Linked DNA regions of Oryzias latipes. The protein of the gene in region 2 purifies or fractionates together with the protein of the main gene of each other region. This does not show direct contact. Links are inferred from orthologs where the notes say so. Each region holds a gene or a part of one and is shown on either strand. Other genes may lie near its edges.

The links.
Region 1: the proteins of mms19 (region 2) and brip1 purify together in Homo sapiens (affinity purification with western blotting; 3 studies listed by BioGRID and IntAct, with this or other methods). This does not show direct contact. The link is inferred for Oryzias latipes from reciprocal best matches to the Homo sapiens genes MMS19 and BRIP1.
Region 3: the proteins of mms19 (region 2) and prim1 purify together in Homo sapiens (affinity purification with western blotting; 3 studies listed by BioGRID and IntAct, with this or other methods). This does not show direct contact. The link is inferred for Oryzias latipes from reciprocal best matches to the Homo sapiens genes MMS19 and PRIM1.
Region 4: the proteins of mms19 (region 2) and prim2 purify together in Homo sapiens (affinity purification with western blotting; 5 studies listed by BioGRID and IntAct, with this or other methods). This does not show direct contact. The link is inferred for Oryzias latipes from reciprocal best matches to the Homo sapiens genes MMS19 and PRIM2.
Region 5: the proteins of mms19 (region 2) and narfl purify together in Homo sapiens (affinity purification with mass spectrometry; 3 studies listed by BioGRID and IntAct, with this or other methods). This does not show direct contact. The link is inferred for Oryzias latipes from reciprocal best matches to the Homo sapiens genes MMS19 and CIAO3.
Region 6: the proteins of mms19 (region 2) and rtel1 purify together in Homo sapiens (affinity purification with western blotting; 4 studies listed by BioGRID and IntAct, with this or other methods). This does not show direct contact. The link is inferred for Oryzias latipes from reciprocal best matches to the Homo sapiens genes MMS19 and RTEL1.
Region 7: the proteins of mms19 (region 2) and ppat purify together in Homo sapiens (affinity purification with mass spectrometry; 3 studies listed by BioGRID and IntAct, with this or other methods). This does not show direct contact. The link is inferred for Oryzias latipes from reciprocal best matches to the Homo sapiens genes MMS19 and PPAT.

What each region holds. Positions count from the first base shown.
Region 1 is NC_019871.2:30,042,192-30,046,221, forward strand, and holds part of brip1 (Fanconi anemia group J protein), read right to left. Parts: intron 3,777-4,030; coding exon 3,577-3,776; intron 3,496-3,576; coding exon 3,363-3,495; intron 3,269-3,362; coding exon 3,114-3,268; intron 3,029-3,113; coding exon 2,851-3,028; intron 1,844-2,850; coding exon 1,703-1,843; intron 61-1,702; coding exon 1-60. UniProt on the Homo sapiens protein: DNA-dependent ATPase and 5'-3' DNA helicase required for the maintenance of chromosomal stability. Acts late in the Fanconi anemia pathway, after FANCD2 ubiquitination.
Region 2 is NC_019877.2:1,649,279-1,654,021, forward strand, and holds the start of mms19 (MMS19 nucleotide excision repair protein homolog), read right to left. Parts: upstream 2,969-4,743; 5' UTR 2,861-2,968; intron 2,154-2,860; 5' UTR 2,130-2,153; coding exon 2,042-2,129; intron 816-2,041; coding exon 767-815; intron 674-766; coding exon 573-673; intron 503-572; coding exon 417-502; intron 341-416; coding exon 266-340; intron 150-265; coding exon 80-149; intron 1-79. Other genes in the region: ubtd1 (ubiquitin domain-containing protein 1), read left to right, coding at 3,389-3,458. UniProt on the Homo sapiens protein: Key component of the cytosolic iron-sulfur protein assembly (CIA) complex, a multiprotein complex that mediates the incorporation of iron-sulfur cluster into apoproteins specifically involved in DNA metabolism and genomic integrity.
Region 3 is NC_019865.2:19,076,609-19,081,268, forward strand, and holds the start of prim1 (DNA primase small subunit), read right to left. Parts: upstream 3,142-4,660; 5' UTR 3,012-3,141; coding exon 2,897-3,011; intron 2,500-2,896; coding exon 2,342-2,499; intron 2,257-2,341; coding exon 2,150-2,256; intron 2,067-2,149; coding exon 1,993-2,066; intron 1,912-1,992; coding exon 1,775-1,911; intron 1,099-1,774; coding exon 1,040-1,098; intron 840-1,039; coding exon 730-839; intron 649-729; coding exon 557-648; intron 476-556; coding exon 343-475; intron 1-342. UniProt on the Homo sapiens protein: Catalytic subunit of the DNA primase complex and component of the DNA polymerase alpha complex (also known as the alpha DNA polymerase-primase complex - primosome/replisome) which play an essential role in the initiation of DNA synthesis.
Region 4 is NC_019873.2:24,446,934-24,450,963, reverse strand, and holds part of prim2 (DNA primase large subunit), read right to left. Parts: intron 3,814-4,030; coding exon 3,718-3,813; intron 3,471-3,717; coding exon 3,333-3,470; intron 310-3,332; coding exon 242-309; intron 1-241. UniProt on the Homo sapiens protein: Regulatory subunit of the DNA primase complex and component of the DNA polymerase alpha complex (also known as the alpha DNA polymerase-primase complex) which play an essential role in the initiation of DNA synthesis.
Region 5 is NC_019866.2:12,257,154-12,261,855, reverse strand, and holds the start of narfl (cytosolic Fe-S cluster assembly factor NARFL), read right to left. Parts: upstream 3,045-4,702; 5' UTR 2,987-3,044; coding exon 2,921-2,986; intron 2,175-2,920; coding exon 2,079-2,174; intron 1,946-2,078; coding exon 1,802-1,945; intron 1,730-1,801; coding exon 1,603-1,729; intron 1,516-1,602; coding exon 1,381-1,515; intron 782-1,380; coding exon 663-781; intron 589-662; coding exon 459-588; intron 381-458; coding exon 308-380; intron 236-307; coding exon 98-235; intron 13-97; coding exon 1-12. Other genes in the region: transcription factor E4F1, read left to right, coding at 4,181-4,277, 4,531-4,649.
Region 6 is NC_019865.2:31,300,851-31,305,504, forward strand, and holds the start of rtel1 (regulator of telomere elongation helicase 1), read right to left. Parts: upstream 3,077-4,654; 5' UTR 2,906-3,076; coding exon 2,804-2,905; intron 1-2,803. Other genes in the region: ndufb11 (NADH dehydrogenase [ubiquinone] 1 beta subcomplex subunit 11, mitochondrial), read right to left, coding at 4,336-4,465. UniProt on the Homo sapiens protein: A probable ATP-dependent DNA helicase implicated in telomere-length regulation, DNA repair and the maintenance of genomic stability. Acts as an anti-recombinase to counteract toxic recombination and limit crossover during meiosis.
Region 7 is NC_019862.2:3,972,060-3,975,491, forward strand, and holds the end of ppat (amidophosphoribosyltransferase), read right to left. Parts: intron 2,986-3,432; coding exon 2,913-2,985; intron 2,832-2,912; coding exon 2,680-2,831; intron 2,610-2,679; coding exon 2,482-2,609; intron 2,389-2,481; coding exon 2,167-2,388; intron 1,311-2,166; coding exon 1,190-1,310; intron 1,114-1,189; coding exon 956-1,113; 3' UTR 697-955; downstream 1-696. Other genes in the region: uncharacterized protein LOC101171480, read left to right, coding at 1-343. UniProt on the Homo sapiens protein: Catalyzes the formation of phosphoribosylamine from phosphoribosylpyrophosphate (PRPP) and glutamine.

The DNA.
Region 1 (4,030 bases), on a different chromosome or scaffold from region 2:
CTGAAAGGTGGCACACAGTTTCTTTCCTTGAGGTCCAGCACCAACTGTTCCAACCCAAACCTAAAAGAGACAAAGTAAAAGCTAAAAAAAAAGGAGTTCACTTTGATTTGAAATAACTTTGGGTCCTTAGCAGAGGGGTTACACTTTTTTATAGGGCTGGTGTCACCAATCATTTTCAGAATCAATTCAAGCCTGAATCGATTCGATTTAGCACTTTTACACTGTTTACACATTTAGACATATTTGTATAGAAATGTAATAATAATCTATACATGTTTTAAAGATATTCGCAGTTCACGTAATGTAAAACTTATTAGTGAAATAATAAACCAATGAGATTGTTAAACCAACAGTGTTACACAAAAAGAGAAGCTCCAACAAAAATGTGCAGATCAATAACATTGTAACGGCTCTAAAATGATTCATATTACAAAATGAAATGTTCTGCCTCTCCTGGAGAGCGTTTCAATGTGGTCACTAGGTGGAGCACGCGCTATAGCATTACACTTTATTCCAGAATATTTGAGCAAAAAAAACGGTGCTTTAGACCACATATGGCTAATTAAAAAATTGTTTCCTTTAAAAACTTTAGAAAATGTATGCCTGTGAGTAAATAAAGCTGTTCATTTAGTCAGCAATGTATGTTTAGGTCGAACAAGCGCTAGCCGTCCTATGGGAAATTCCATTATATATACTCAAGTCCCCGGAAAAGTAAATGCATAAAAGATCGATCTCTACTTTTATGGATCGATGATTGATTTATTAAGCTTGAATCAATTCAGATCCATTAATCGATTTTATCAAGCCAGCCCCACATCTACTCAACAACAACACGTCTAATGTTGTCTTCAAGCCCCCCTATCCAATGAAAATGGTCTTTTTGGTGTGTTTTTTACATCTCCTTGTAGCATTTTTCTTGTGATAAAGGACATGTGTAAAATAATTTAAAATGTAAACTGTGTTTCTGTGTATTTCTTTATTCAGTTTATAGTGGATCAGGAGCAGATTAAAAAAACGTAGTTTAAAAAGTCTCTCAGTTTTGATCCAGCAACCGAAATGGTTGGGCCACAAGCTCCCTGCTCTGCTCCATTCTGATCATCCACTGTCAGACAAACAGATCCATGAACGTCTTTGTTTTTCTCATCTGAGCTGGAATCTGGATCAGAACTGTACGGCTGGAGCTCACCCTTTTTGTTTCACCACTAATACAAGGTTGGGGTTGTGAGGGGCTGCAAGACAGCGGGGGAGAGTATAAACTAAGGGATTATGGGATATCAGTGGAGGGTTATTTCCAGCTCAGAAGTACATTTCTGATAAACCTCTGTTGCTCTGCAGAAAATATGTCCTAGAAAACAACAGTTGTTTTGAAAAATTGGATTAAAATGTTCATAACCATAATTAAAAAGAGCACTAGGAACACTTTGACAATTGATAAAAACGTAATTGGAGTGGGACTTTAAACTTTAGGAGAACATGAGATACTGAAAGTGGATTATCAGCTTCTCTCTTCAGGCCTGAACATTTCTGCTATTTCATGGTTAGACGATGACATCCAGAGGACAAAAATGGAACTGCCACAAGAGGAAAAAAAAGTTGAAGCTTATGAGTCTTGTTGATGTCATATTACAGGTTTTCATGGATCCATTTTAAAATTTCATTCTCCCCCCCCCCCCAATATGAGTCATATTTTTATGTCAGGAACCTGGGATTTGTTGATGACGTGGTTGGCCTCAAGCTGAATGGAAAATTTCACCCCAAGTTCAGAGGAGAAGGATCCCATGGGCGACAGTGTTCCTGATGTCAACACAATGCTGCGCACTGAGCCACTCAGGTCAGAGAAAGCCTGGGAAGTACAAACAGGATGACATGGTCAAAATGTGTGCTGTCATGCAATACATTTTTTTGTCCGATTAATTTATCATGACCTGTAATTAATAAATGATCTGTTTTTAGCCAGAGTTATTTTCAACGTAATAATAGTTGTAAAAAGCCTCACTTTCAGATATCATCATTTAAATTCATGACATTGTGGTGCAAGAAAAGATCAATGTGCAACTAAAAAAAAATAACTAGCTTTATGAAGTTTTCCTAATAGAACAGACTACCAACTTTTGCTTTTACACATACAAGGTGTGAACAAAACACAAGAACTAAACATCAGGTCCAGAGTGCTAAAAAATTAGAATAACAAGATTTAAAAAAATAACGCGATAACTTGTCTGTAATCAATTAAGTGAGGGTTAATGGCGGACGGAGTGTGCGTTATCACTTTTTAAACACGCCGTGGAAGCCTGAACCGTCCGACGCGAAGATGAGGATGGTTGCTTCAGCGAAGTGCGTTAAAAAGTGATAATGCACATTTCGAAGGCCATTAACCCGCTTATACCATGGTCACTTAAAAAAGCAATACATAATTAACCAGGTTTTAGTCCTTAATTCTTGTTTTTTTTTTCGATTTGGATCGCTTTTCTCACAAAGCAGACTATTTTTTACGCACCGCATCACGTAACAAATAGTCCGCGTCGCGCCGCACCACCACTGCAGTCAAGATTCGGCGCTATATATATGCTGATCTTTCCGATGCGTTGAATAAAGTATCAGCTCAGAGAGAAAGTTCAGTGATAGAAAACATTTAAGCTAGGTGACCGGAAATTCTTTTTTCACCGTGCGTTATCAGGTTTTAACGCACATCTAGCAGCCAATCAGAATCGAGTATTCACCCGGAACATGGTATAATGGTGATTAACCCGTTAATTTGACAGCACTAGTCAAAATCTCGTCTGTGTGCTTCCTCAACTGCTTGCCGCCATCATTAGAAGACAGCAGAGGCTTGCATGCAGAGTCTCTCACCACAGCGGGGTTAAGGCACCAGAAGCTTAGCGTCAGGATCTCAGTCTTGACTCTGGCAGTCTGGCGGCGTCGTGGTCGGGGCCGGACCAAAAAGCCTTGGGCATCCGGGACATCAGGCGGGACCTGATTGGTCCATGAATAGCTCCTCTGGAGAGCTACTTTGTAATCCTCAGCAAACCTGCAGGCATGCAGAGCTTTCTTCAGAGTTTGTGCTGTGAGGAACTGGTGTGATATGAAAAACAGAGCATGAATTTGTCTCTGACCGGCAGTTGTCCCTGTAGAGGAAGTCGAGCACCATAAAGAGGTTTTTCAGGACAGTGGACGTCATTGAACTGATGGTTGGGACTTGCACCATGTCTTCCTTTCCATGAACCAAGCCCACACGCTCTTCCTTTTCCAAAACAGCTGCAAGATTTTGCTATAACAAAGAGAAACAGTGGAAGAGCATCTGCACAATCAATGACATGGACAAACGGCTTCAAACAAGACTACCGGTACAAGGATTAGGGTACCTTTAGAATCCTGAAGGTGTCAGCTGTAATGCCCAAACCATAAAAGATGCCCAGTATGTCTTTCCCGCTCCAGACTTTACTGGCACTTTCATATCCACGCTCAGACAACAAGACCTGGCACTCTTGAATCCAGCTGCAACACAACAGAAAATAAAAGTCAACTTTTGCAAGATGAAACAAGAGCATCGGCAAATTGATCCAATCGATGACTGACTTGATGAGAGCGTAGCAGAAGTCCCTGAGAGGCTCGTGTTGGGAGCGTCTAATGTTGTTTTTGACCATGCTGTCCAGCTCTTCTCTGCACGTCTTCAAGCTGCTCTCATCCAGAGTGAAGCTGGTGCTTTCCCTTGCACAGTCCTCAATGTTGTGGGCTTCATCCAGGACCAAGATCTGTCCTGCCAGATCTATTTCCATCTAGTGAGAATACAGAGTTGAAAGAAAGAGAAAAGTATCAGTTAATTCCTCGTGTCTATACTACATCCAGATACAGAAAACCTGTGAATCCAGGGAGGTGTTTCCTCTCAAACCCATTTTTCCTCAACACAGACCAATGAGATGCCTGTAAAGCATCCAGATAAACATTGATAAAAACTAGTTAACAAGAGTTTGTGCTGCAAAGGTGATCTAACTAACCTGATTAATAAGGACATTGGTTTTTCCTTAACAAA
Region 2 (4,743 bases):
TCTTTATAAAGCTTCTGATGGCTCTGCATCTCCTGGGACGGGCAGCACAGAACCCCTTCACTTTGAGGAAGACTCTTACCGGCTTCCCTGGTCTCCATCAGGTTGGTGAGCATGTTGTAGACACACGCTCGCTCTGCAAGCATCAGCGACTGAGAGACAAAAAACAACAACGTCAAGATAGACCTCGAGACAAACGGCACGGAGCAGACCTTTACCGGAAAACAGGAAGTGGAGGAGATCCTGGTTTCTTCATGGAGAACCTCACCTGGACGTGGACGTCCTGGAACAGCGACCTCAGCATGGACACGGCCGAGCCGGGAGGCAGCGCCGCACACTTGGTCTGAGGAGAAACCAACACAAACTTACAAGGAGGCTCCAGCAGCGCCTCCGTCTGAAACCGGGTCCCCCAAGTTTACCAAGGCGAGCAGCCCCCGTAGGACGGGCGGAGTGGTGACGTGATGGTCTTTGAGGCGGTTCTGGTAGAAAGCCATGAGCACTTCCACTGCGATGGGACAACAGGATGTCAACAACGCTCCTCACTTTGAGCAGACGAAAAGGCTTGGTGTTCTGACCTTCTTTCTGCGACAGCTCTGCACGGCCGTCCTGTAGGACCTCGGAGAGCAGCTGGACGCCGCGGGCGCGAGTCTGCGGCTGCGAGCTGGTCAGGCTGGGCCTGCGGGTGGACGGGAAGTCGATTGAAAACAAGAACGGCGTCACTTTTTTGTGTTTTTGTAAAAAAGTAAAGGAGAAAAAGACAAAGGCTCACCCCAACGCTTCCACTAACTGCAAAACTGTAAACGCTCCATCTTTGACACCTGAGCAAGAATCAATAATATGTCAACAAAAGCTTAAATAATCCATATTATACCACGGTCCGGGTCTCAATTCTGATTGGCTGCTTGATGTGAACCATCAGCGTATTTATCGCTTTCCTTTGCCGCTGCAGTGGAGGTCGAAGTAAGAACGCGCCCGCCGCCTTACGTGCAAATAGGACCACGGTAACGGAAACAATGAGTACATATATAGAATAAAGTTGTACAATTCTGAGAAAAATAAAGACAAAATTTTACAAGGAAAAAAAATGTACAAGAAAAAACTTTAAAAAAAGGGAAAACGACAATTTTCTAACATAAAGCTGTAAATGTTTTACTTCAAAAGTTGCAATATTGCAAGGAAATAGTCATACTTTTTCAAATAAGTAAATAAATAAAAGTCTGAATTTTAAAAGGAAAAAACTAAAAACTGATTTAATATGCATTTCTTTTGGAAAATTTTAGGACTATTTGCGTCAAATTTAGACTTCTCTCAGATTATTTTACAGTTCAATTCTCATAATAAAGTTTGGACTTTTTTCCTCATAATTTCACGACTGAATTCCTGTAAAAATTTGAACTTTTCTCTTATAATGTTACAACTTCATTGTCAAATATTTGCTTTTCTTTCATGGTGGCCTCAGTATTCCGTCATAACAGCCTTTAAATAAATATAGTATCAGGGGAAAAACAAACTTCAGTAAATTTGATTGACATAAGTGATCGTTTTATTTTGAAAGATCCCCCTCTGTTTACTTTGGGTATAATTAAAACTCCTTTAATTTGATACGTCATAAGTTATCAGGTCTGTGCTGAATCGGAACCGAATCGGTTCGGTAGTCTGGACGTGTTTCCCTGCTTTGCCCACACAGACAAACTCGGGATCAAAGGTAAATCGGGGGTTGAGGGTTCAATGACAGGATCCTCCTCGCGCCCAGCCAGCAGCTAGCTAGCAGCAGGCACGAGACCACAGCAGACTGCAGGTACAGTCATGGTTTCAGTAAACAAAGATAGCTGCGAGTTCCTGCCGCCCCGGAAAAAGGGCAGATTCATGACATGTTTAGTGTCAGGAGGAGCTTCTCACGCAGCATCCCGCACAGGATGTTGTGACGCTAAGTTTAGCTAGTTAACCCCCACGCACCTTTATGGGAAACTAACGGCTCCAGCTCAGTTTTCCACACAAACCCGCTGGTAAATGTGAGGACAAACACCGGACACGACTGCTGTACCTTTAGCGGCGTCCTTTGCTTTGCTGTCCTGCAATCCGGAGACGAATTCCTCCACCAGAGACAGCAGCAAGGCACCGTCCGCAGCCATCGCGCTTCCTCCACGCTGCTGACACTGCGCATGTGCAGAAAGTTCAAACGCCAAAGTCCAACTTTTTTTTTCTTGGTTAAGAAAAAATATAAATATATTTTTAAAAAATATTGTTTGTGCTTTTAAATAAAATAAATATAGAGATTTTACACAAAAGAACGACACATTTATGTCCAAGACACCATTACATTCAAAGTATCTCAAAAAACATAAACAAGTATAAATGTAACAATTTATTAAGCTTGATCATTTTTGTTTGGTCATAAAGGTGTTATTGGAGATGTCATACTTTTATAAGTGCATTAATTAAGCAGTGAAATATGTTTCAAGCTGGACTAAAAGCTGAAACCGTTTGATAACATGATCTGGATTAAAATCCCAGAAGATATTAAACTACGTAAAATATTTTTTTGTTCATCGTATGACTGCATTCATTCTATCTAAGTTTTCATGTGACGTTATAATAAACTGGAATTCACACGTTTTTGTTCAGTATTTTTTTAAACTATATGGAAAAATCCTAATTTGTTTGGATAAGTTTGAAAAATACCTACAAAAAAGTGAAATATTCATAAGAATCTGTACTTTATTGATAGTATTTTTACTTTGTGCCCTTTTAAAATGTACTTATTGTCATTGTGTATTGTTTTTTCTCTCCTAATATCAAAGACGGTTTGAACCATTATTGTGACGTCACTGCTATCATTTATTTACGTTTCCTTCAGACCCACCTGCCTGGTTGTCTGCGCATGTGCAGAAAAGTTCGCCTGCCTTAGCTCGTTTCTGAACACTTTCTCAACCAGCAGCAACAGAAAGTGAGGAGTTTTTCCAAGTCTTTTGAAGAAAAGTAGTCCGGGAGCGCGTGAAGGGCGTGATACGGTTCTGCATTCAGCTCCGAGTGAAGCTCTACCTCCAGACCCTTTTATAGGGAAGATAAAACTCGGGGAAATGACATCGAGCACGCGGAAGTTTGTGTTTTCTGGCGGAGCTAGCTGGTTAGCCCAGTTAGCCTGTTAGCAAGAAAGCTTTTCTGTTTACAGTTGCAACTAAACCGAACTTTACCGGTTATTCAGACAACAGAAAAAAAGTTGTTAACGGTTCCCACCGGATTTCACCGCCTTGTTGTCACCGGATGACATATCCGGCTAGCAGCGCTGCACCTGCGGGTTCTGATCTTCGCCGGACTCGGTTCTTCGTCGCCATGGGCCCCGTTGGAAGCCAGTGAAGCCCCGCGGGGAGCGACCACAGCCCCTCCGGCCATGGGAGGATGCGTGGGGAGGTACTGGCGAGGCTGGGACGAGTCACAGAGCCGAGGTTCGTCCGGGAACGGTGGGTTCGGAGTTTGCTGTTTATATGACACTTTAGAGTAGCAAATGCAGCAGAGTCATAGAAAAAGACAAGAAAACGAGCTAAATGTAGGTTAATTAAACCTGGGGGGGGGGGGGGGGGGGGGGTATTATTTATGTTCTTATTTGACATTTATCTTCAACTATTTGACACCTGACACTGTTGTTTGACCCTAACTACTATGCAAACGAGCTTTAGCTGATTTGGTTGGACTTGAACCCGGAAAGGACACACATTTGAATGCGTGCAGGTGAGCTGGTACCTGAGGAACCTGTGACTGAATGGATCACGTGATCACGTGATGCAGCAGCGCCTCTGAACGCTGGTTTTAGGGTGCAAACAGGAACGTGGCCTCCTCTGCGTTTGACCTTGACCTGCATAAGAAGTGGTGGAATAGCTGCTCTCCTTTGTTTGCACAAGTATTGTCTGTAATCCGCCCAAAAGTTTGGGAATCTTCTGCAGTGCATACATACACACTCAACGCACATTTATTTGTAGAATGCGTGTATAGAAAGTTCAAAACCTATTGTTTATTCCATGTTTGTGCATCTCTTAACCTGGCGAAAGGTCCGGCTGAAGTTGAAGCACACGAGAGTGTAGAGGACGGTCGACCTGTGAGGCCAAATGCAAAAAAACAAAAGGGAGTCAAACAGCTTGCTTTGAAGGAAATGTTCTCCATTTGAACCTTTGATCGGAGCTCCTGCGGCGTGGCAGGAGTTCTTTAAAATAAAACGTTCGTCGTTCATGCAGGTGGATGCTTAAGAATGGGGCGGAGCAGGAAGCTTGTTTCTTCATCACAAATACGATGTTTTCCAAACCACGTTTTTTTCCGTCTGCTCCCGATTTGCATTGATTTGAATAAAGAAGACACTCAGAAACGGAATTTTGAGCTTCATTTTCTTTCCATTTGTCCTCCCATCATCAAAAGATGCTACAAGAACACGTTTAAAACTCCATTTTCATGGCAGTGCTTCTTTAAGCGAAGATGTTTACATGAATGTGCTTGCACTCTAATTCTACCTTGGTTTTATTTTGAAATGATTTCTATTTTTGCTTTTTTATTTGTATGCTCTTATTTTGAAACATGTTTACAGCAGTCTCTCTGAGGGTTTTGCTTTGAACCTTTCTGTGTTTTTGACAGTGATAGCTGTGGTCATATAAGGTCACCTTGGCGTGTGTCCATATATGTGTTGCGTTGGCGTTTACTCCAGTTTTACAGGATAAAACCAAGTTTTTCCAGGCAGCCACCGTTCACATTGCTTAGAGC
Region 3 (4,660 bases), on a different chromosome or scaffold from region 2:
TCCAATATAACAATAAAGGGGCAGGACAATATTCATCTTCCAAAGCCCAGTAGTTCATCTTGTCTTCTATTTTATTTCAAATAGTTTACAACAGAAAGCGTGCAATAGCTTCAGTTATTTATTTCAACAACAGTCACCATTCCAAAGAGAGCTAATTATTTTAAGTAATAACAAAATATCGCATCTTTAAAGGTTTGCTTTTAATCCTTAATTTGAAAGTTTGACAGTTGTTGTTTTTTACATTCTTGTATGACATTTGCATTTTTGTCAAATCTGGCTTCATATTTATATGAATTTGTCTTAATGACTGCAAACTTTCTGCTCCTTTTAAGGCATAATCACCTGTTTTGGGATGGACACTGAACGGACTCTTGAGCAGATGGTTCACCCCTTTGCTGACGTTCACGTCGAGCCGAGGGTAACAGTACTGCAGCATGATTTCTTTTTCAAAGTGTTGGCCTTTTTTCACAGTACCCTAAGAAAAGAAAAAAAAACAGACGTCCTTCTGCACAAGAAAAAAAGATGTTATAAAATAAACCTATAGAAAAGTACAAACCTGCTTATTCTTAGCTTCATTTTTTATCATTTTCCAGAGTTTTTCTGGTTGCTTCACACCTTTCATTTTGGTCTGCAATTCATTTCTGACATGTTTTTGTGTATTAAGGTTGTAATTGTTTTATCTTATTGGCTCATATTAACACAAAACTTGTGACTTAAAAAAAAGGATATCTTCAGGCACAAGGGCCAGCACTTTGTCCACACACTCCTTGCGACCCAGTATGTCTTGGTCCTGCACCGCGTATTCCAGAAAGTATTTCTCCACCACTTCCAAAGATGCACTGTTAAGATTACAAATGTGGGAAATCTGAACAAACTGAAACCTAAACAGAAGAAAATGTTCAATTCTAGTAAAACAGAACAGTTTGATGCTTTAAAAATGGTTAAAAGTCTCCAAAAATAAAAGATTCACACCATTCACTGATGTGGGACTGCAGATAAAAATAGAATGCGTTTGAAACATTAAAATGTGGGTTATTACCTGATAAAGGGATGAATTGGATCTGTCAGGACCACTTTCTTCACCGTCTCCTCACCGCCCTACGAAGCAAACATGAGTTCAATAAACAGAAACTGAAAAAGAGAGATTTACAGGAACTGCATGAAAATGTATCAACAATGTTCCCTTATTTATGGAAGTTTTTTTTCCACCCATAATTCAAAATAATATTCAATTCTCAATCAACAATTAAATTTGCAATTTGATCATGCAATTTAGAAACGCATGTGGCAGATGAATATACCAAACTGACAAATGTTTTGCAGTTTCTTTAGAATTTTGACAGAGAAATATCACGGCAAATAGAAAAGCAATAGAGTTTATGTTAAATTAGGATGAATGTAAAACAAACAAGTAACTGAAATATATATATTTTTAATAGTGATTTATAAACTGGAAAATGTATTTTCAATATGCATATCCAAATTCCACATTGAATTATAAATTGCAAAATCCATTTTTACTTGTAATTTTAATTATGGTAACAAAAACCTATGACTAGTGGTTTTTATTTCAAATTACATTTTTAAAAATGTAACATTGAATTCTTATTTTACATTGAATTTACATTTTAAAATGGCAAAATGAATTGTCAGTTGGGAACTGAATGTTACTACGAAGAAATCTTCCACACTTGTCTCTATTTTTTAAACAAGCAAACCTCTTTCGCTTTTGTTTTTATAAACTGTTAAATTAAACCCATTTGCACCACATTACCTTGACCAGACTGAGGTATTCTGCCACAGCGGAACGTCCTGCGGCAGAGAGCTTCCGGGCAGCTTCATCACACACCCAGCAATGCACTCCTCTTCTGCCGGAGTAAACCCACAGCAAGTGCTGGAAACCAAAGTCGTCTGGAAATGCCAGAAAGCAGACTGCGGCTTCAAATAGGTGTGGAGCAGTGAAAAAGAGGTGAAGAGACACTGAAGACAAACCTCGGAGAGCCCTGTCCAGAATGTGAATGGCGATGGTCATCAGCGTCCAGCACTTGGAACAAATATCTGCAGCACTACAAGTGAAGTTTTGACATATTTAGTACATTTATGGAGAAAGCAAAGACATTACAAAGTAATGGCATATCAATAGTTCTACCTGCAGCAGGTGCGGACATCATCGTAGTCGGTCATGTCAATGTCAAACACAAGCTCCTTCTCCAGAGCCTGGAAGCTGCCAGACTTTACGGTGTTGTGTTGGTTAGGCTGCAGGTGTAAAGGAAGCCATCAGCTCTTTCTGCATGTCTGCATTGATGCTCAGAGAAGCAACATCAGAACCACGGTTACCAACCCTGTGACTGTAAACTGCTCCAATGTCGATCTTGTAAGGGTTCATCTTCTGCATTTCCTTCTCCAGCTCGTTCTGCGTGCTGAATGACTGGTAGCGAACATAGATGTCATCCTTGAGAGTGAAGGAGAACTCCCGGTTCTGAAAGTAGTTTTTTTGCACTGAGGAGAAAGAAAAGCAGGAAGAAAGAAAGATCTGTTCATTTTATGAAACCAAACACAAGCTTTAGCTCAAACATTCGCTTGTTATTTTGACCAAATATTCAGCTAAATTAAACCATGAATTAGAATTCAACTTACAATAATATAAGGTTCTACTAAATAGATGTGTTTTAAAAAAACAAGTGGGAGGATTATATATATATTTCATAAAATCCTAATCGATGTCAATGTTTGGGTTTGTTGTTGTTACACAATCAGCTCTCAGATATCCTGTCAGCGGCTGAATAAACACAATCGATAACTTTAAGCACTCAATATTTGACAGTCTTTAGCGGTTTAGCATCCCAACATTAACTTCTTCTACATTCCACAGCGTGTGTTTGTTTATAACACTCACCTCCGCCGTAGTTCAGCCAGCGATAATATTGTGAGAAGGGGAACAGTCGCCGGTAGTAGAGCGGTAATAAGTCTGGGAGACAAGCTGGGTCGTAGTCTGAATACGACATTCTCATAAAGCTACAGCTTTGACAACAATTGTAAATGGTTCAAAAATACCAGCGAGACGCTAGCTTGTCTGTTCTTCTTGCTAAAACGCTCACTGTGGCGTTTGCTTGCTGCAGAGCGCGCGGGAAAACTTAGAACAGAAACAACCAATCACAGGGGACTTCCGTTCACGACGTCACCACAACCAGGAAATGTCCGTGCATCCTCTTTTCTGAAGTGACGAATTAGAGAAGGGTTATGGGAAATGTAGTTTAGTTGGAGAGATACATCCGAGGCGTGTAAAACTGAAACAATTTGTGCTGTTTTTGTTTAAGGATAGCACTCTTGCAAAAATATATAGTTTTAAATATGTTTATCTTTTATTTGTTTATTTTTAACTGTCTATAGTTGTTTTTGCTTAAGTATGTCCCCGTTACAGCTCTACACCATTGACTGTGTGTGTGTAGTTATTTCTACGTGCAGTCAATGCTCTGGACACAGGAAAGGAAAAAAGAAATAGATAGATAAAATTTATTACAAACCAATAGTTCAATCATTCATATAAAACCACACAAATACAATAGAATAAAAGAGGCCAACTAAAAATAAAAAGTCAAAAAAATCCTTATTAAAAAGGCAGAAATAGAAGTAAGATATACAATAAATCAATATTATTATTATTATCCAAAACCTAAATATGGTTTTATGCTATTGTACTTGGTTTCCTTGTCAAACTGTCATGAACAATAGACAATCAACAATAAATAAATAATGACAAACTAACAAGTGCTCAAGTTTTGAAGTTATATTTTCTAACTGACTGGAAAAAAAATCTTTCTTTTCCCCCTAATTGTTGAGCCATATAGACATTTAAACTGGTGAGTAGATTAAAAAAATAACAAGGTAAAACTTTTACGAAATTGTAGGCAATTTTCTGCTTTACTGTGAAAAATTTGAATGAATAAAATACTGACATATCCTACAAAAATGACGTCTTGCTGTGTTTCGTGTTCAGAAAACATTCTCTGGTGGGTCATAAAATATACATCTTTTAAGTGTCAAACATCCAATAAGCAGTTAATTTTGGACGAAATTGTAACTCTTTCTTTTCGAAAGAGATCCTTGAATTTGTGCCCATTGAGAGACTCCTAAAAAATGTTTTAATAAGTATTTTACCACTGAATGAATATTCACAACTTATTTTGCCTTTAAAAAAATTGAATCTGTAAATTCAATACGGGCCCAAGTCCAAGAAGTTTGTTTTTCCAGGAAATTATTTTAATTGCATAGCTTAAAGGGAGGCAACACTAAATGATTAATACTTTACCCAGATTTAGCACCAGATCACAGTTTACAAATGCTATAATATGAAGCACCTCACTTTTGTAATTTCAGAGGACTAGTAAACTAAAGTCTCTGGACGTGGGCCCTTCTTGAATTAAACAGAAGTAACATCTGGAAAGAATGGACAAACCACATATTTATCATCATGAATCTTTATTTTTCAAACTGTCACATTCTTAACACTTCTTAGGATCAGTTTCTATCCAAACCCTTTTTCTGCTACATGATAAGTGCTAGTCAGATTTGTTTTCCTCCTAAAATGGAACAGGTTATCAAAAAGATACATCTGATCTTCATATTGAGACTCGTCATTGCCCCTAGTATCTCAAACTCT
Region 4 (4,030 bases), on a different chromosome or scaffold from region 2:
ATATAAAAATCTGTGTAAAGGTTTCATCAAAAAAACGTGATCAAAGATTTTCTCACTAAAGACGAGCGCTCACTCTTTTGTGGAATTATTTCTAATAAAAGAAAATGTTTTTTAAACTAACAAAACAACCATGAATAACTAAGTATAAAAAATAAAAGACAAGGTATTGCATCAGCAAAAATATACATATATTGCAGAGAAGCTATAGATTCAGGGAAAGGTCTTTTGTGGTGCGACTGACCTGAGGTGGTTCAGGAGTGGGTGGAGGCGTTCATCTGAATGCACTGCTGGTAGTGAGCGGGCCGTCAGCTGTGACAACAAATGAGTAATGGTAGATAGTGCTGGTCAAAGATTAGAAAAGCTTAACACCGCTGATCAAGTCCAACCTGACGGATTACGGTACTCGCAGAAAATTGTAAGGATCGGCCTTTTCGCTAAATCAATCGGAACAGCCGGCCGGTGCTCACGCTGCCGTTTGGCTGCCTGACCTTTCAAAACAGACCGTTACGACTTCTGCAAGCAAATTTAACACCAACATCACCTTAATGTGTTTAACTGAAGCCATCCAGTTTGTGTCTGCATGGATTCAGCTTCTAGTCAGTCTAAAAAAGTCCACTTTGAACTGAAATCCTAAAAATTACAAGTTTTAACTCAACCTTCAAAACCTCTTAAATATGTACGGTGCAGCAGTGCAAAGCCACAACAAGCAAAAAGTTATTTTTTAGAGAATAATTGCATTTTAACAGTTAATGGTCTGTTAGTAAAGCAAAGTGCATTTCTTTGGTTTAGTTGTGGCTCTGTAATTGTATTTGAGGAGAAAAAGACACTAAAATTCCACAATGAGGAAGTGTTTCTCCGCAGACAGCACTGGGCTCTCTGAAGCAGCGTTAGTATCCATATAGACCACCAACAGTCAGTGTGAAAACACTGATGCACAGCATTGCTCTGGTTACAACCCAACAACCAAAAACATGTTGGGTACACAGAAGCAGCCCGTCATGAATATGACGTGAAAATATACGGATTACTGAGTCCATACAGGAAGAGCTCAACATTATACAAACATAAATGGTTTTGTGGAATTGACTGTAATACAGTGGGGACTTTATAATTTTTGCTGTAAATATGTCTGTTAATAGGTTTTCTGCAGAACAGTACAGACAGGGGGATTTCCAACATGTTGCTATCATGTTAAGTTACACGGCACTATGGAGGTTAGCCTTACAGCAAGAGTGCCGCTTTAAGCCCCGGGTGGGTCCTAATGTGGCCCTGAAATAGGCTGCTGACCCCCAGCTTCACTCAGACACGAGGGACCGTTTCCAGAAACCCACAGGACCCAACTGAGATGCAGCAGGTACAAATTAGTGGCGTTAAAAATCCAAAATGCTTTTATTTTTGGTTACTGTGGTTTATCGCGGGAGTTGCATTCTAACAATAACTTGAAATATGGGAAATCTGTGAAGTGGTCAACTTTACTTTTTACAATTTATATCAATGTTTTAAGGCAGTAAAACCCCTAACAACACGTTTTATGCTTTTTTTTCCTCTTTTCAGAGAGATATTAACATTGTTACACTTTTCTCTCTTGTTTAGACTCTCTAAGTTCAAACCTTTGTTGAAATATAAGCCTAGAATTATGGAATAAAAACAAAGATCTGCTGGCGTTCAAAAGATTTATGTATATTTGGCAAAATGAACGCATTCTGTACAGGAGACAGAACAAAGATCGACAATGGTGTACAGCCAATCAGGATATATAACGGTACACAGCACACACAGAAAACTTTAAGTAAATTTGAAGTAAGTACATGTTTGACACATTCAAGCTTTTTTTTTTTCTTATAATTAATACACTTCCACAAACCAACAGATCATCCAATAGATCTTTAACAGTAAGAGCAGAAACTCTCCATTGAAAATTGTGTATTTGGTGTTTTTAACATGAACTTGTAGCATTTTTGTCATGAAGGACACGTATAAAGAATATGACGTATGAAAGAGCTCGTAGTTTCTATGTACAAACTACAGCTGAAGATTCTCTGACCGACTGGCTTCTGCAGCGTTCGTAGCGGTTTCTTCCCTTTCATGTGGCTCACCAGCCCGGTTCTCTCATGCTGCTAATGTCGAAGGACTTGGAGCAAAGTCTGCATTTTGCACGTCTCTCTGGTCAGGGTCTTTCCTTAGCCACAGTCGCTACTTCTCCTTGAAAAGCCACTTGTTGTTAAAGCTACATTTCCCAGCATTCCGTGACATTTCACAATCCATGTCTGATAGCAAGTTGAAAGCGTCACGCGCTGAACTGATGACAACTCGACCTGCTTTCAATTCCCGTCACCGATAGCGTAAGATTGAACTTCTGCCACAACTTAAATTCAAATCTCAAGTTAAACCTTTTTTTTACGCTTTTTTGCATCCAAAATATTAAGATTTTATGACTTTTTCAAAACTTTACAGAAGATATTATTTTTTCACAAACTTTTCAAGGACCTAAAATTTGCATTTTCAATTTCCAAAAATGTTCACGACCCATACAAACCCAGAGGCTGGGAAAGCAGCAGCAGAAGACAAAGATGGCGGGCGGCTGGCAATGAAATCAGATGGACAAATCACAGGTTGATAATAAGGTTTCCCTGTTCTCCTCCAATCTCCTGGCTAATCCTGCACCTTTCAATCAATCATCAGGAAACAACTCAGTTTTTCTATGTTTTCCATTTATATGCTTTAAAAATCAGAACCAGGAGACGTCTGCTCAATTGGACCAAACGATTCTGCAGATAAGCTGCCGTCTGGACTCCTCACTCGTACAGAAGCACGTGATTTCATATCCTCTGGGGGCTTTTAGCACAATGCACAAACATTCAGACATGATGTCATCCCAGACAAACATGCCACAGCTTTAAAGCAACCAGGCCTGGAGGGGGGAGTAACAACAGCAGTTGTCCCCGATATCGCCTTCAGACATTTTATGTCATTTGGGCACTTTTTGCTTTCATTCGAACCCTGAGCTTTCCAGGTCCCCTCAGGGCACTAAAGACAACAGCAGCAATTCAAAACCCTGTCTTTTTGGAAACAGCCTCTCCGTAAGCAGAAAAAACAAACACACTAGACACAAATATAATGTGAAGTTGTGTTAAAGCTAAACAAAATCTAAAAAGCACTTGGAGTAATTATTCTGGCACTAATTTGTTGGCGAGTTTCCAGTCTTTTAAAGATGTGCGACAGGATGGAAAATCTAACTACAAACACATATTTGCTTTTGTCTCATTTGTTCCAGATTTATTCAAAAACTTTCATAATTGTTTGTAAACTAAAGAGCAGTTTTGATCACTTACCGCCAGAGCTTTGGAGAGGCGCGTGCGGAAATCGTTGAGGACGATGGTAACGATGTCTTGTTGAGGGACGAATGCAAATCCAGCTTTTAGATACACTTTTCGAGATCGCACTAAATCAAGGGCATCTTGAAAAGGAACCTAAAGAAAAATAGACATTTAAAAATCCAAATAAGCATCAGGATTAGTAGAGTATTCTTTAACCTTTGATGCAGTAATTATTCATCTCCATCATTTCCTCCAATTTATCTCAAACAAAACAAATGGCGACATTTTCCACCTTAAACTGTAAGACTTCTTTTGTTTATTTTTGACTATTGTAAAAAAAAAAAAAAAGATTCCAAACAAAAAATGATCTTTTAATGTAGTCATTTCCTTCATAACTGACCTTGTAGAACTCGAGCTTCTCCACGGTGACTCCACTGACGGAGTAACTCGACATCAGGAGTTTGTCACTCAGCTCATTCTTCTCTTTGTCGCTTAACTGCAAAAAAGTTTTCCAACAATACAGATGAACCTTTATGCTTCATGTAAATCTTTTGCCTTGCTGTTGTCGTCAATTTATGCAGTGATGTGCAAACACCCTGCTACACACAATAAAATTATGATATCATCAATTTACATATTTTGAGTTATTTCACAGCAGCTGTAAATCAGGGAATCGTTGCACTTCCAAAAAGAGTGGCGTCATTATTGTTGGT
Region 5 (4,702 bases), on a different chromosome or scaffold from region 2:
AAGTCTTTGTTCCTGGGCCATCGAACAAGAGTGAAGATGAGAAAAGCAACTTTTTGTTTTTTTTGTAAAAAGACACAATTTATATAGGTGAGCAAACCTTAGAGTTTTGTAGGTGAGCTCCTTTACTTCTTCTCCAAAGAGCTGCTTAGCAGCATAGGTGAAGACGTGATGGAGGTAACCTCCGGATCCACTGCCAGCGTGGCTCAGGAGCTCATCCCCACAGACGCTGCTGAACCTGAGGGTAAAAATAGGCAGCATCAGAAGAGTTTTGAGAGATAAAGTTTTCTTAAAAAAAGAGGGAACTTACATCGAATCAAGAGTTCCAGGCTCAACATCATTCAGAGAAATATGATGTTCCTCCAGCATTTTCTGAACCTCTCCTGAAGAGAGGACAGACAAATAACCATGTGGATGCTGCATATGCACCTAAGTATTACTTATAAGGGTAATTACTGTACCAGACGTTATGACACAATCCACTTCTCTGGTCTCCGCTTTGTTCATAAAAAAATCTGAGCGTGACGCTTCGAGTTTCTTGTCGAAGCAGGGCATCACAGCCACATGGTAAATCTGCTGAGGACTCAGCCCCTAACAGCACAAACAGATCCAGCTCAGTTAGTCTTTATTGAAATATTTACAGAACGGAGAAATCCAAACCCCACCTGCTTTTCTGCAAAGTGGCTTTTAACCAGAGACCCCATCATCTGCTGGGGGGAGCGGGTGGTGCTGATATATGGGAGAATATACTCCCCGTGTGTCTTCTCTGCATAGCAGATCCAACCTGAACACACATAAACGCACACTTTGGTCTGAATGGAGTTCAAAGCGTTTGATGCACCAACTATTTCATTCCTAACCAAAGCCTATAGAAAAGTTGTGCTAATTGTCTTTTTTTAGTTTTAATGAGAGCTGCTGTCACAGCTTCAGTCATGAACTGGACGGTCAAACATCGCAAAGTCAAATGTGAGTCAATCCCAAACACCCTAGCAAATCATTAACAGCATGGTGGGGTGGGGGGTGGGGGGGGTTGAGCTGCTACAACAGCTCAGCAAAAGTCCTGACCTCAACCTTTCAGAGACGTTTTCAGAGAAAAGAAGAGCGTAAACTGATACCCTTAAAAAACGTCAAGGACCTGAAACAAAGTGGTGATACTGAGATTCCGATTGAAAACTCTGTCTAAGCTTTTGGAGCTAAAGATAATGTCATGAACATTCACTATTAGGCTTTGATAAATATATAAAATACGAAATAGAAGGCCTTCAAAAACAAAATAAATACACAAATGTGGTTTCCGTTCCACATTCAAATCAAGCTAAAAGCTTTCAAAGAAGTTGTGAAGTTTTGGCTTCTATTTTCTATCATGGAGCTCTATGTCCGTACCTGGACAGGCGGAGGTTAACATGGGCAGAGCCTTGTTGTCCTGTCCCTTCCTCTGGAAACGTTCCACAAACTCTCTCTGACTTTCCAGCAGACTGAAGGTCCGACTAAAGCTGGTGTCAAACACATAGTGAACCCCTGTAAAAAAAAGCGACCATCTTTCAGACACGTACACAGCCACTGCTTCAACTTGATTTATGAAACATTAAAAGAGGGAAACGTTACCCAGGTTTTTGAGGAAAGAGGTGAGCCTCCTTCCTGCCTCACTGCTGCTGATACCAAAGTGTGCAGCGAGGGACGCTCTGGACTGCGGGGACACGGACACCACCACAGTCTTCTGCTCTGCTGCACCCTGTGGGGGAACGAAGACTTAAGCGGAACACAAACCCAACCATAAGTAGACAAACTGAGCAAAACACTCTACCTTGTTGTTCCGAAGCACTTTTAAAAGCTCCTCGGGGCTCTGCTGAGTGATGAGGACACTCTCAGCTGAGGTGATGCAACCGCTGCACGCCAAGCAGTCGTTCAGTGAGATCTTTGCTTTTTCCAGCTTCTCCTTCCCGCCATCCTTTCAACACAAGACACTTCCATGAGCATGATACTAAATTATTGCATTTGGTACTCTGACAGTCTGCTCTATGAAGTCCATTCATGATTCAAATACCTCAGACTAAAAGGCAAAAATAAGTGTGAATCCTCACCTGGTTGACTTGGACATAACTACCATCATCCTCTATCTGTATTCTGGCCACAGATTTGCCTTGTTTCTTCTCGACTTTTATTGGTTTGACACATTCCTAACGAAAAACACAGATATGAAAAAAACAAAAAGGTAAACAACCGTTGAACCTGATACGTAGTTTCTGTCAACATGCAAAAATGGGATGGGAGAACTGTAAGCAAATTTACACCACAAAAGTCAGAATGATCAGAGAGCTTAGATTTGATCACATTGAATTAGTAATAGTTTATCATTGACCAAATGTAGGTGGAGAAAACAAGGCCTTTAAGTGTTATTTTCGTCTTGAGAAGTCATAAGTTTGGAGGGGATACAGGGGCATCATTCAAGCATCTGGGGTTACAGGAGCTCAAAACAAAAGTCAGTGGCAACAGGATGAATGACGAATACATGAAGTAAAGACATGTTTTATCCATGTGTTTTGACTTTTGTCTGTTTGAAAGTCCGATCAATACTGCAACTTCTTTCCATGTTTTGACATCTGTGTTACCATTAGCAAAACAAAAGCTAACCGATTCGTTATTTTTGCTGCCAATGAATTGTAATTTTAGACGAAAGTAATATATGTAAAAACTAGAAACGAACACTACATGTTTACTAACGTAAAGGCTAACTAGAATCTGTTTGTTTTGGTTTCTTCTTCCAGGAACAGCACTTACAAGAGCAACTACCACCACCAGAGCATGCTAGCTTAGCTCCCTAAGAGCGAACTGAGCTTTTAGCATTTTGATTGGGAAATAAGCGAAACTCCTCTGCTTGTAATGTCCTTCTAGAATAAACTTAAGTATTATTTTTGACACTGACCTGGGAAGGGGTGATAAAATCGTCCAGATCTGTCAGTTGCAGTACACCGCTGAAGACAGAGGCCATAGTTACTGCCGCAAACCCGTTGTTTACTCTTGTGTCGTGAAATGCTGGTCTGGAAGAGCACGTTCAGGCTCCACTAATAGTAATAGTTTGCCCCATTCTCTCATACAGTCAATGGGTTTGCCATGCATGTTCTGTATGTGCAACATTTGTCAACTAAGATAAAATAAGTAAATACATTTTTTTTACCACAGTATCTGGTAAATACTTGGGTTGTTTTATGTTGTATCTATTCAAATCGTATTCACAAATCACAAAGGCTTTTTTGTGTAATTTAATTTGCAGATTTGCAAATGGATTATATCTTTGTAATTTGTCAAAAGATTTTTTCTATTAGTTAGAACAACTTTTAACTTGATTGTGCTAATTGTTTGTATTTGCACAGTTTCTTCTGTAGATGTAATATTTTTTTTTTTAAAGTTTGCATTTTATTAGTTATATGTCAAGTGGAACACACAAAAGAACCTGTATTAGAATATGTTGGTCACTTAATTAGGGACAAAATATAAATACAACAAAGGAATTTTGGTCAGATTGTAACAACCTATACTGAACAATCTAGTACAACTTTAGGGGAAAGTCTGAATAAAACAACATTGCTTCATTCAGTTTGCTTTTTGTGAAGTGCCTTGAGAGAATCTTGACAAAAAGATGTCAGATGCTCATCCTAAAATATATCATACAGTAATTTGAAGAGTCTTAAATAATTCAAGAGTAATTTTAAAAATGGAATGTTTTTTAAATAGAAAATCTTTGTGGTTTACACTAAGAGGTGACATTTTATTCGTGATGATGGTTGTGTGTTTGACATACTGCATCTCTATGTAGTAAAATGTGCATTGTCAATATAAATGCCAATATTTTTACTATCGCTATTGGAACATTTATAGAGTAATATTTTTTCAAAAATACAAATGAAATATAAGTAAAAATCCAAATATAAATGACGACAGCTTTAACGATTTTATCACGTTTTCTTTCAACAAAAAAATAATAAAAAATAAATAATAATAATAATAACAAATGTATCGTTTTTTGAATGCCTTTTTATTTTTGTGGTTAAATGTTTCGTTTATTATTTTATCTTCTGCATGCGAGTGCATGCGCTCTTTTGTTGTTATGACTACAGGGTCGTAAATCCGCCATGTTTTCCCTCCCCAGCACAGCGTTGCGACAGAGACGGAGAAGTCAAACGACATGAATGCAGAAAATAATCATACGGCAGAAACAGAGAAGGAGCGAACGACGAACGGCAGTGAGACTATCACCATTCAAACCACCCTTGGAGATGAAGGTTAGTTTTCAGCCAGTTCAAAACACTCCCAAAATCAGGGTTTTTTGTCCGTAGTTTGGGCCTTGCTAACTTCCTCCATCGCGAAATTGTTGCTAATTCGTCTTTAGCAACATCTAGTTTACGGCTTTGCTGCAGGTTTGAGTTGTCAGCGGCCTTTTTAAAAGATGCCCAGATAAGCAGGTGATAGCTTTTTGGTGCTAGATAGTTTTTTAAGCTAATGGTAGCTAAATATGCTTCGTCTTTGTGTTTTTAGACGATGTACACAAGTGTGGACGCTGTCAATCCGAATTTTCCACGCTTGAAGCATTTATCCAGCACAAGTTACATAACGACTGTAAACGGGTGGAGACTGACCACACTGCTAATCAAGAGGTATGTGCTAAATCTGGAACTATGTTTAAAGTATTGATGAATCAACTTGAGTC
Region 6 (4,654 bases), on a different chromosome or scaffold from region 2:
CCCAATGAATTCTGAGGTGCTCAGAGACAGACTGTCTGCACAGATCCAGGTGAATGCAGCCAAACTGATTGGACGGCGTTTCATAATACAGATGGACAACAACCCAAAACATACAGCCAAAGCAACTCAGGAGTTTATTAAAGCAAAGAAGTGGAATATTCTTGAATGGCCAAGTCAGTCACCTGATCTGAACCCAATTGAGCAGCATTTCACTTGTTGAAGACTAAACTTCAGACAGAAAGGCCCACAAACAAACAGCAACTGAAAGCCGCTGCAGTAAAGGCCTGGCAGAGCATTCAGAAGGAGAAAACCCAGCATCTGGTGATGTCCATGAGTTCAAGACTTCAGGCTGTCATTGCCAACAAAAGGTTTTTCAACCAAATATTAGTAATGACCATTTTGTTTTCAGTTATTTGTCCAATTACTTAGGAGCCCATGAAATGAAGGGATTGTGTTTAAAAAATGCTTTAGTTTTTCAAATTTTAATGCAATCTTTTTGTTCAACCAATGGAATAAAAGCTGAAAGTCTGCACTTCAATGGCATCTGAGTTGTTTTATTTAAAATTCACTGTGGTAATGTACAGAAACTAAATGAGAAAGAATGTGTCTCTGTCCAAATATTCATGGTCCTGACTGTATGTTCCTATCCTCACCAATGCACAGCTTTAGGTCATGACTAAAAAGATAAGATTCAAGCGGCTGAAAGGAGTTTCCTTCACAGCGTGGTTGTGGTTCTTTTAGGGTGAGTAGCTCGTCCATCCAGGAGCAGCTTTGAGCAGCGCCGCTGCTCCTCCACATCAAGAGTTCAGGAGGTTCATTCATCTCTTTCAGATCAGATGCCCCCTGGAAAACTGCCTGGAAGGGTATTCCAGGGATGTCCCACCAGGAGGAGGTAACGGGGACAAGCCAGGACGCTCTGGAAAGACAGACTCCTAGATGAGCTATAAAAGTCTGTGGAAAGGAAGATCAAGGTATCTCTGCATGGACTGCTGCCCCGTGACCCAGCTCTGGATAAGCAGAAAAAGATGGATGCATGTGTGGATGGATGAAATGTACAAAAAGTGATATTTATGGCTGCAGTATGAACTGACGGTTTGGTGTTCAGACTGTATCTGAGAACTGGACTGAGTCAGTGTGACATCACCCACAGAAAACAACTTACTTCCAGCTCCAACCAAATGAATTCAATTCAGTCGCCGTTTTTCCACGATACAGACACCGCCATTTGGAGCCAGATAAGGTTAGGAAGCAGTGGTTGGTCCGAGTCAGTATGAATCAATGTTTCTATGGCATGAGGTGCCATAGGAACCTCTCAAAATGGTAAATAGACCAACAAAAACTGTAATACAATATAGAAACACCAAAAAGACAAGAGCAGAGGCTGAGATAAGTTCAGATTTCAGCCCATCTCCACTCTAACAATGTCTCTAAGAACAGAACTGGAACTCTCTTCCACCATCATCAGACAAGAACAAGAACAAAGATTTAAATCCAACTCTTCTTTGGTTGCCAATCAGGAGTGAGCTTGTTTGAAGTCCACGCCCCCTTCCACCTAAACCAGGCTCTTGAGAATCAGTCAATCAAACTTTACAGACGCTCGAGGTGGGGGCCAGCAGGCATCACATGCTTTTATTGCAGCCTCTGATTGGCCAGTTTATGACTTCAATAAATATAAATAACAAATAAATAATATCATGGACAAAAAAAAAAGATTAGTGAGGAGATGTTAAAAAGGGTGTCAGATGAAGAAGTCTATGGAATTTTGGCTTCTTGGTGCCAGCAGGTACTTCCTGTTTGCAATGCGGAGTCAGTGTGAGTAGCCTGTTGCCATGGTAACCGTTTTTTCCCCCCTCGTCACTTGGTGACTTTGACTTAACCTGATTAAAGATTGGTGAAAATGTAAACTTTTATTAAATTATGAACGTTCAAAGAAATCCAAGAATGCTGTTAAAGGAATAACAGAAACACAGAGACCTCCTTCAACGATCATCTACCTTGGTTGGAGCTGCTCTGTGTGCACATCCGCCTTCATTAACGCTGTGTTGATTCTATAACCACCGGCCGTTAATCTTGGATATCTCAGCCTCTTTGTTTAGGCTGGACCCTTGAAATGAGCTGTAGTCCTGGTCTGAGTGCCTGTTTTCCATTGTGTCACAGTCTACTTTAGTCGGTCAGCTGTTGAAATAACACTACAAATGTATTATTATTGTTGTTGTTGTTTACTTTCACAGGAACGTTTAGACATAAATGTTTCATACTGAAGTCGGCTTCCTAATCAAAGCTTCTGATTGGTGAGGACACTAAAAAGGAACCTTCCACTGTATTTATCACACTAACACCACGTGGGACCAGGTCCTGATCAAAACCCTCAGGACCTGGACTGATGAATCCTGGATTACAATATGCATTAGACACTAAAGAATACATTACACACGGTTTCTGATTTATGAAACATTTATCTGGTTTCTGTCATTTCAAATAGGATGATTGTATGTAATGTAGTTGATACATTTAGAATGCTATAGATGTTTTGTGCATCAGTCTGATCTTTGTTGTGGGGTGAGAGATGGCAGAAGACACTCAAGAGGGGAGGCAACAGAAGTTCCAAACAACAAACATCTATTTTTAAACACAAAACACGCTGCGAGCAGGAAAGCCACAAAAGCTTTAAAACAATTGTAGAAAAAGGAAAGACAGTCTCTCCGACCGTCCATTGGGGTTTAAAAACTCTGTCCACCTTTCTGAAGCTACGGCTCACGTCCGACACCAACGTCGGAACCACGGGGACCCGTCAGTGACTCACCTGCTGCAGACACTGGAGCACCTTGGCCATGTAGTCCTTCTGGCAGTCATAGGGAGGAAAGGGGAAGTCCACCGTGACTCCATGCAGGGTAAGTGACGGCATTTTGGGCCCCGGGAAGCGGGTTCCAGCCGAAGCTCTCTGGGCTTCCGCGCGCCTCAAACTGCCGTCAGAAACCGACTACGTTTACCGGAATGCTAGCTGCTCTGGCTTCATGCTCGGCGAATAACAGAAGCTTCGCGCCAGCGTCGCTTCAACCCACTGCGCACGCGTAGTAAAATGGGACGTTCACGTCCCTTCAAACGTCGGAAGTAAAGCCTCCGTCCTTTCAGATTAAAGATCGTGAACGATCCTACTGGAGTAGAAAAAAAAAATAAACGTAGCTTTCCTCGGGTTAACATGTTGAAATTATGTCCAATTGTCTGAGCAGAGTCCTGAGATCTGAAGATCACATGCTTTTAAGGAGTCGGCTGGTGACTCAGAGAGACCGAGCCTTTTCAGTTGCAACTCCTAAACCAGGGATGTCAGACTCATTTTCACTGAGGGCCACATCAGCATAGTGTCTGTCCTCAAAGGGCCAGATATAACTTATACCTGTAACTAAATGTAATGAAAAATAGACCTAACTACTCCTTAATGTTAAATAACTCATTTATTTATTTATTAACTTTTTAAAGTGACAGTTGCATTGAAAACATGTCTAGTTGTTATTCTAGCATAAATCCTTTTACATTTGATTCTGTCAGGTTAGGTTATATGGACAGTGTTTCAGTCCTAATGTATAGTTGACCAGATCCCCCCTAGATATGAATAAATACACAACAATTTTGTTTTTATTTGAAGAAATTGAAAACTTCTCTTGCGGGCCACAGAAAATGACATGGTGGGCCACATTTGGCCCCCGGGCCTCGAGTTTGACACGTGTCCTAAACTCTGGAATGTTCGTCTCTTTTCTGTGAGGTCTGCCAGAACCATCAGTGATTTTAAGACACTTTTAAAAACTCATTTTTTACTCTGGTTTTTAACTCCAGCGAGCAGATCTAGAGGGACAGCTTGTTACTTGTATTCTTTTATTAATTGATTTGTTTTTTGGTTGTTTCTTTATTGCATCTCATTGTTTGTGATTTTATGTTAAACTTTGGTTGCCTCTGCTTTTCTAAGCACTACACTAATAATAAATTGATTGATTGAACATCCACCAACTAGAACCATCAAGAATCCACACTTTCAGTAGTTGTCAGGAACACAGCAGGAGCCATCGCTCCAATCCCGCAGGTCGAAAAGGATTTCTAAAGTTCAATCTCGTGTAGATTTCCAGGGTTAAAAACTAACCAGTGAAAGCCTAAAAGCAAGGCCAAACCTCATCTCTGATCACCTGCAGACCATGTCACAGCTGCAGATGTTTGACAGGTTTGAACACGCGTGACAGCCTTTGCTAAAAACACAGCTGAAGAGAAAGAGTCATTTTCCACAAAAAGCACAAACTCCAACAAAAATGGTTTATTATATTATCATGAAACCGATCAGGAGCAGAGCTACTCCTCCCTGGATGAGGGCAGGATGATCTTGCTGGGGTCGTAATAGTTCTCCTCGATGAGCGGCAGGCCCTGCTGCTCCCTCTGACAGATGATCCGCTCTGCTTCTCTTCTGGCCCACTGCCGCATCCTGCAGAGACGGGAGACCGAGTTCACAAACCAGACGCCCGGCAAGGATGGAGGAACGTCCGGCCAAAGGTTTTCACGCCTCTGGCTGACATGCATGGCTAGAGGGATGCTCTCTGCATCAGCATTGTTTCAACCGTTGACCTTTCTTGTTGTTTAAATTAAGTTTGTCATGTAGAAACTAAAAAAAACA
Region 7 (3,432 bases), on a different chromosome or scaffold from region 2:
GCACGCCCCTCCATGCCGCCTCTGTGTTCGCAGCTCCGTGGCCAGCAGGTGTCGCTCTTCTTTAGCTCTCGCTGCTCTTGCCTTGTCGCCGCACAGACCCATCTTCAGGAAGCGCCACTGGGAGCTGGGATGTGACACCAGCCCCCAGTCCAAACGCCTCCGGGAGGAGAGCTGCACCCTTTCCCCCGGGTCCAAACATCACAGGAGAGAGATGCTGCGGCGTTGGCCCGTGCCGTCTCCCCAGGAGCTGCTGAGCAGGGCCCCTTACACTCCCTCCAAACGGGGCCCGTCACAGAGCAGAGCTTTCTCTGCAGCAAACAGTCCCGTCAAGCTCTTCTACTAAACACCAAATGAAGAGGTGGGGTCTTTCTACGAGGAGGACATCATGTATAATAAGTCTGCTTTCTGGGGAACTCCTGCTGGTGGGTCTGGACAGCAGTTCCTCTGATTTTAAATCTCCAAAATCAGGCTGGAGGTGAAGAGACCCACAGGAACAAACAGCAGGAAATTGTTTTCCATGTCCAATGTCTTGAAGCATGTACTGAGACTGTTCTATTTCTCTGGGCTTTTGCCAAATTTTTATGTGTTGCTATTTCACTTTGAAAGTAGCCGTTAAATGTTTTTAAAGTTCTGTTATCTGGATGGTGAGGCTGAAAAGCATCAGGTTTTGGAAATTCAACAATTTAGTACAGCGTGTTCTCTGAATGCTGTTTATTAAACATGGTTTTTTTTTACTAGAATGGAAAACAAAGCACCAATGGTTCATTTTAAATTATAAAATAAAGTTAACTCTTTGGTAACAAACTGCTCTTGCATTCCTTACATAAGATAAAGTCCACAGAAGACAAATCACATCCAGGTTTTTTCAGATTGTAAAGACCCTCAGTCCTTAGACTCTAACACACATTTCTAGTTTTGCACAGACTGTGGATCTGCTGACTGGTCCCTACAGCAGCTACCATTCCAGCTCCACTGGATATTTCCCCGTCAGACAGGCGGTGCAGTGGCCGACTCTGGATTTTCTGGAGCCCATCTGGTCCTGCATGGCTGCGACCCCCTCCTGGACGGCTGTAACCAGCCCCTCCACAGTCAAGTACTCCACACTGTCGGCACCTGCACACCCATAGTAAGAGTAGGAGGATCTTCTGCAGGCCGCAGTGCTGCTGTGAAACTGAACACAACGGCTTACCGAGATAACCAGCGATGTCCTTAAACTGAGGCTTGTTGGCGATGAGCTCCTCCTTAGTTGGAATGTTGATCCCCATGTAGCACGGGAACCTGATGGGTGGAGACGCCACCCGGATGTGAACCTGGAGCAACCAAACAGTGGCACGAAACGGTTCAACAGATACTTTTTTGAGGGGGAAACTGTGAATCTGATGCATTACTGCCCCCACAGGCGCAAATTGGGATTGCAGTTTCAGAGCATCTAGATTTGGAGTTTTTCTATTAACGGAAGAGGACTGGCTGGTTTACTTTAAGTAAATGATTTAAATGAGAGGGAAGCAGCCCCCCGGGAAAGGTTTTTCATGTTATTGCAAAACATGGGAAACCTTTAAAAAGACCCACTCTGATGAAAATGGCGTTTTTGGTGTTTCTAACATGACTTTGGGGCGTTTTTCTGATGGAGGGCATATATATATATATGACAAAGACGTAGATTAAAACTGCATTTCTGAGTACTTATTTATTCAAATTATTGAGTCATTAGCAGAAAAAAAAATGCAGTTTGAATAAACTTGTAGTCGTTTTATCAAAATCTACAGTCAGCAAGCTACAAACGTCTGTTTTCCTCGTCTGAGCTGGAGTCTGGCTCTGATATTGCTCGCCATTTGAGGGGCTGGAGAATGTGTAAACAGAGAGCTCTCAACTTCCAGCCAAAATGCAAAAGGTGCATTTGTAATGAACTCCTGCCGCTCTGCAGAAAGTATGTCCTAGAAAACGACAGATTTGTCTGGTGTTGGCCAAAAACGCCATCATAATAAAAAGATCCCTGGGAACACTTTACAAATAGATAAAAGAATGATCAGAGTGGGACTTCAAACATCGTAATTAGAGTTAAAGTCAGTGTTGTTCCTGTAACATCACTGAGCTGCAGATCAAAGCGGCAGGGAAACACCATCTGAATGAGCTTGTATCCGATTTTTGTCAGTCTGTGTGACTGACCTCTTTTGCACCAGCTTCCCTCAGCAGTTTAATGATGGGGGAGATCGTGTTGCCCCTGACGATGGAGTCATCCACCAGCACCACACGCTTCCCTGCAAAGTTGTCCGTCAGAACTCCAAACTTCTTTGCCACTCCCAGCTGTCTCAGGCGCGTGTTTGGCTGAATGAATGTTCTCCCAACGTAGCGGTTCTTGCACAGAACCTCCATGTACGGAAGCCCAGCCTGAGAGGAGAGCACAGGGAGGGGAAATTATGGGAGGTTGGACGGCGTGCAGACGGTGCAACGGCGTTTCCTGGTATGCGAGCTGGGACAGACCTGCTGAGCATAGCCCAGGGCGGCAGGAGTGGCAGATTCGGGCACAGTGCTGACCAGGTCTACGTCTGTTGGAGCCTCGATGGCGAGCTGCCGACCACAGCGCTGTCTCACAGTGTACACCATCTGTCCTGGAGTACACTCGAATCTTAGTAGCTTGGCATACAGAACACAAAGTAAATAAATGACAAACAGGCCCACCTTCAAAAATGGAATCTGGTCTGGCAAAATAAACGTATTCAAAAATGCAGAAGGCAGGGGGGTCTCCCTCAGGACGGGGCACAACATTCAGAGTTTCGATGCCGCGTTTGGATATCCGGACGATCTCTCCTGGCAGGACCTCTCTGTGATACCTGAGCGAGGACGAGAAGATCCGGTTAGAACTGTCAGACCTGCGAGTGTCAGAGGACGCTGCACCAGAAGAACAAACTTACTTTGCACCGATGGACTGAAAGCTGCAGGACTCTGAAGACACCACCCAGCCCTCAGTGTCTTCCTCTCCTGCACCTGAGCGTGGAGCAGACGCTCGCGTCAATCATCCACCTGTATTCCAATCTGACCAAATGGACTATAGCGTTCCCCCATTTATCGCGGGGCTTACGCCCTATAAATAACCAGTGATAGTTGAAATCCCTAAAGCAGGACAGTGGATGTGTTAAGGCTGTGAAACTCCCCGCTACACACTTTAGCCACTTTTCTCAGACTCACATGAACGTTTTCACACTCTAAAAGTTCAAACCTCCATAGAAAAATAAGGCCAGTTTTTGATCGAAGATTTATGCAACTCTGCCAAGCTGCACACATTCTGTCCCGGAGACACGGCACAGGAGAAATTGATCGACAAGATCAACAACCAATCAGGACACAGAACAGTGTGCTGTTGAAAAGAAACAACAAAACACGCAAACTTGGGCTAAAACAAAATCTATGTGGAAGTGAACCACAATATAGTAA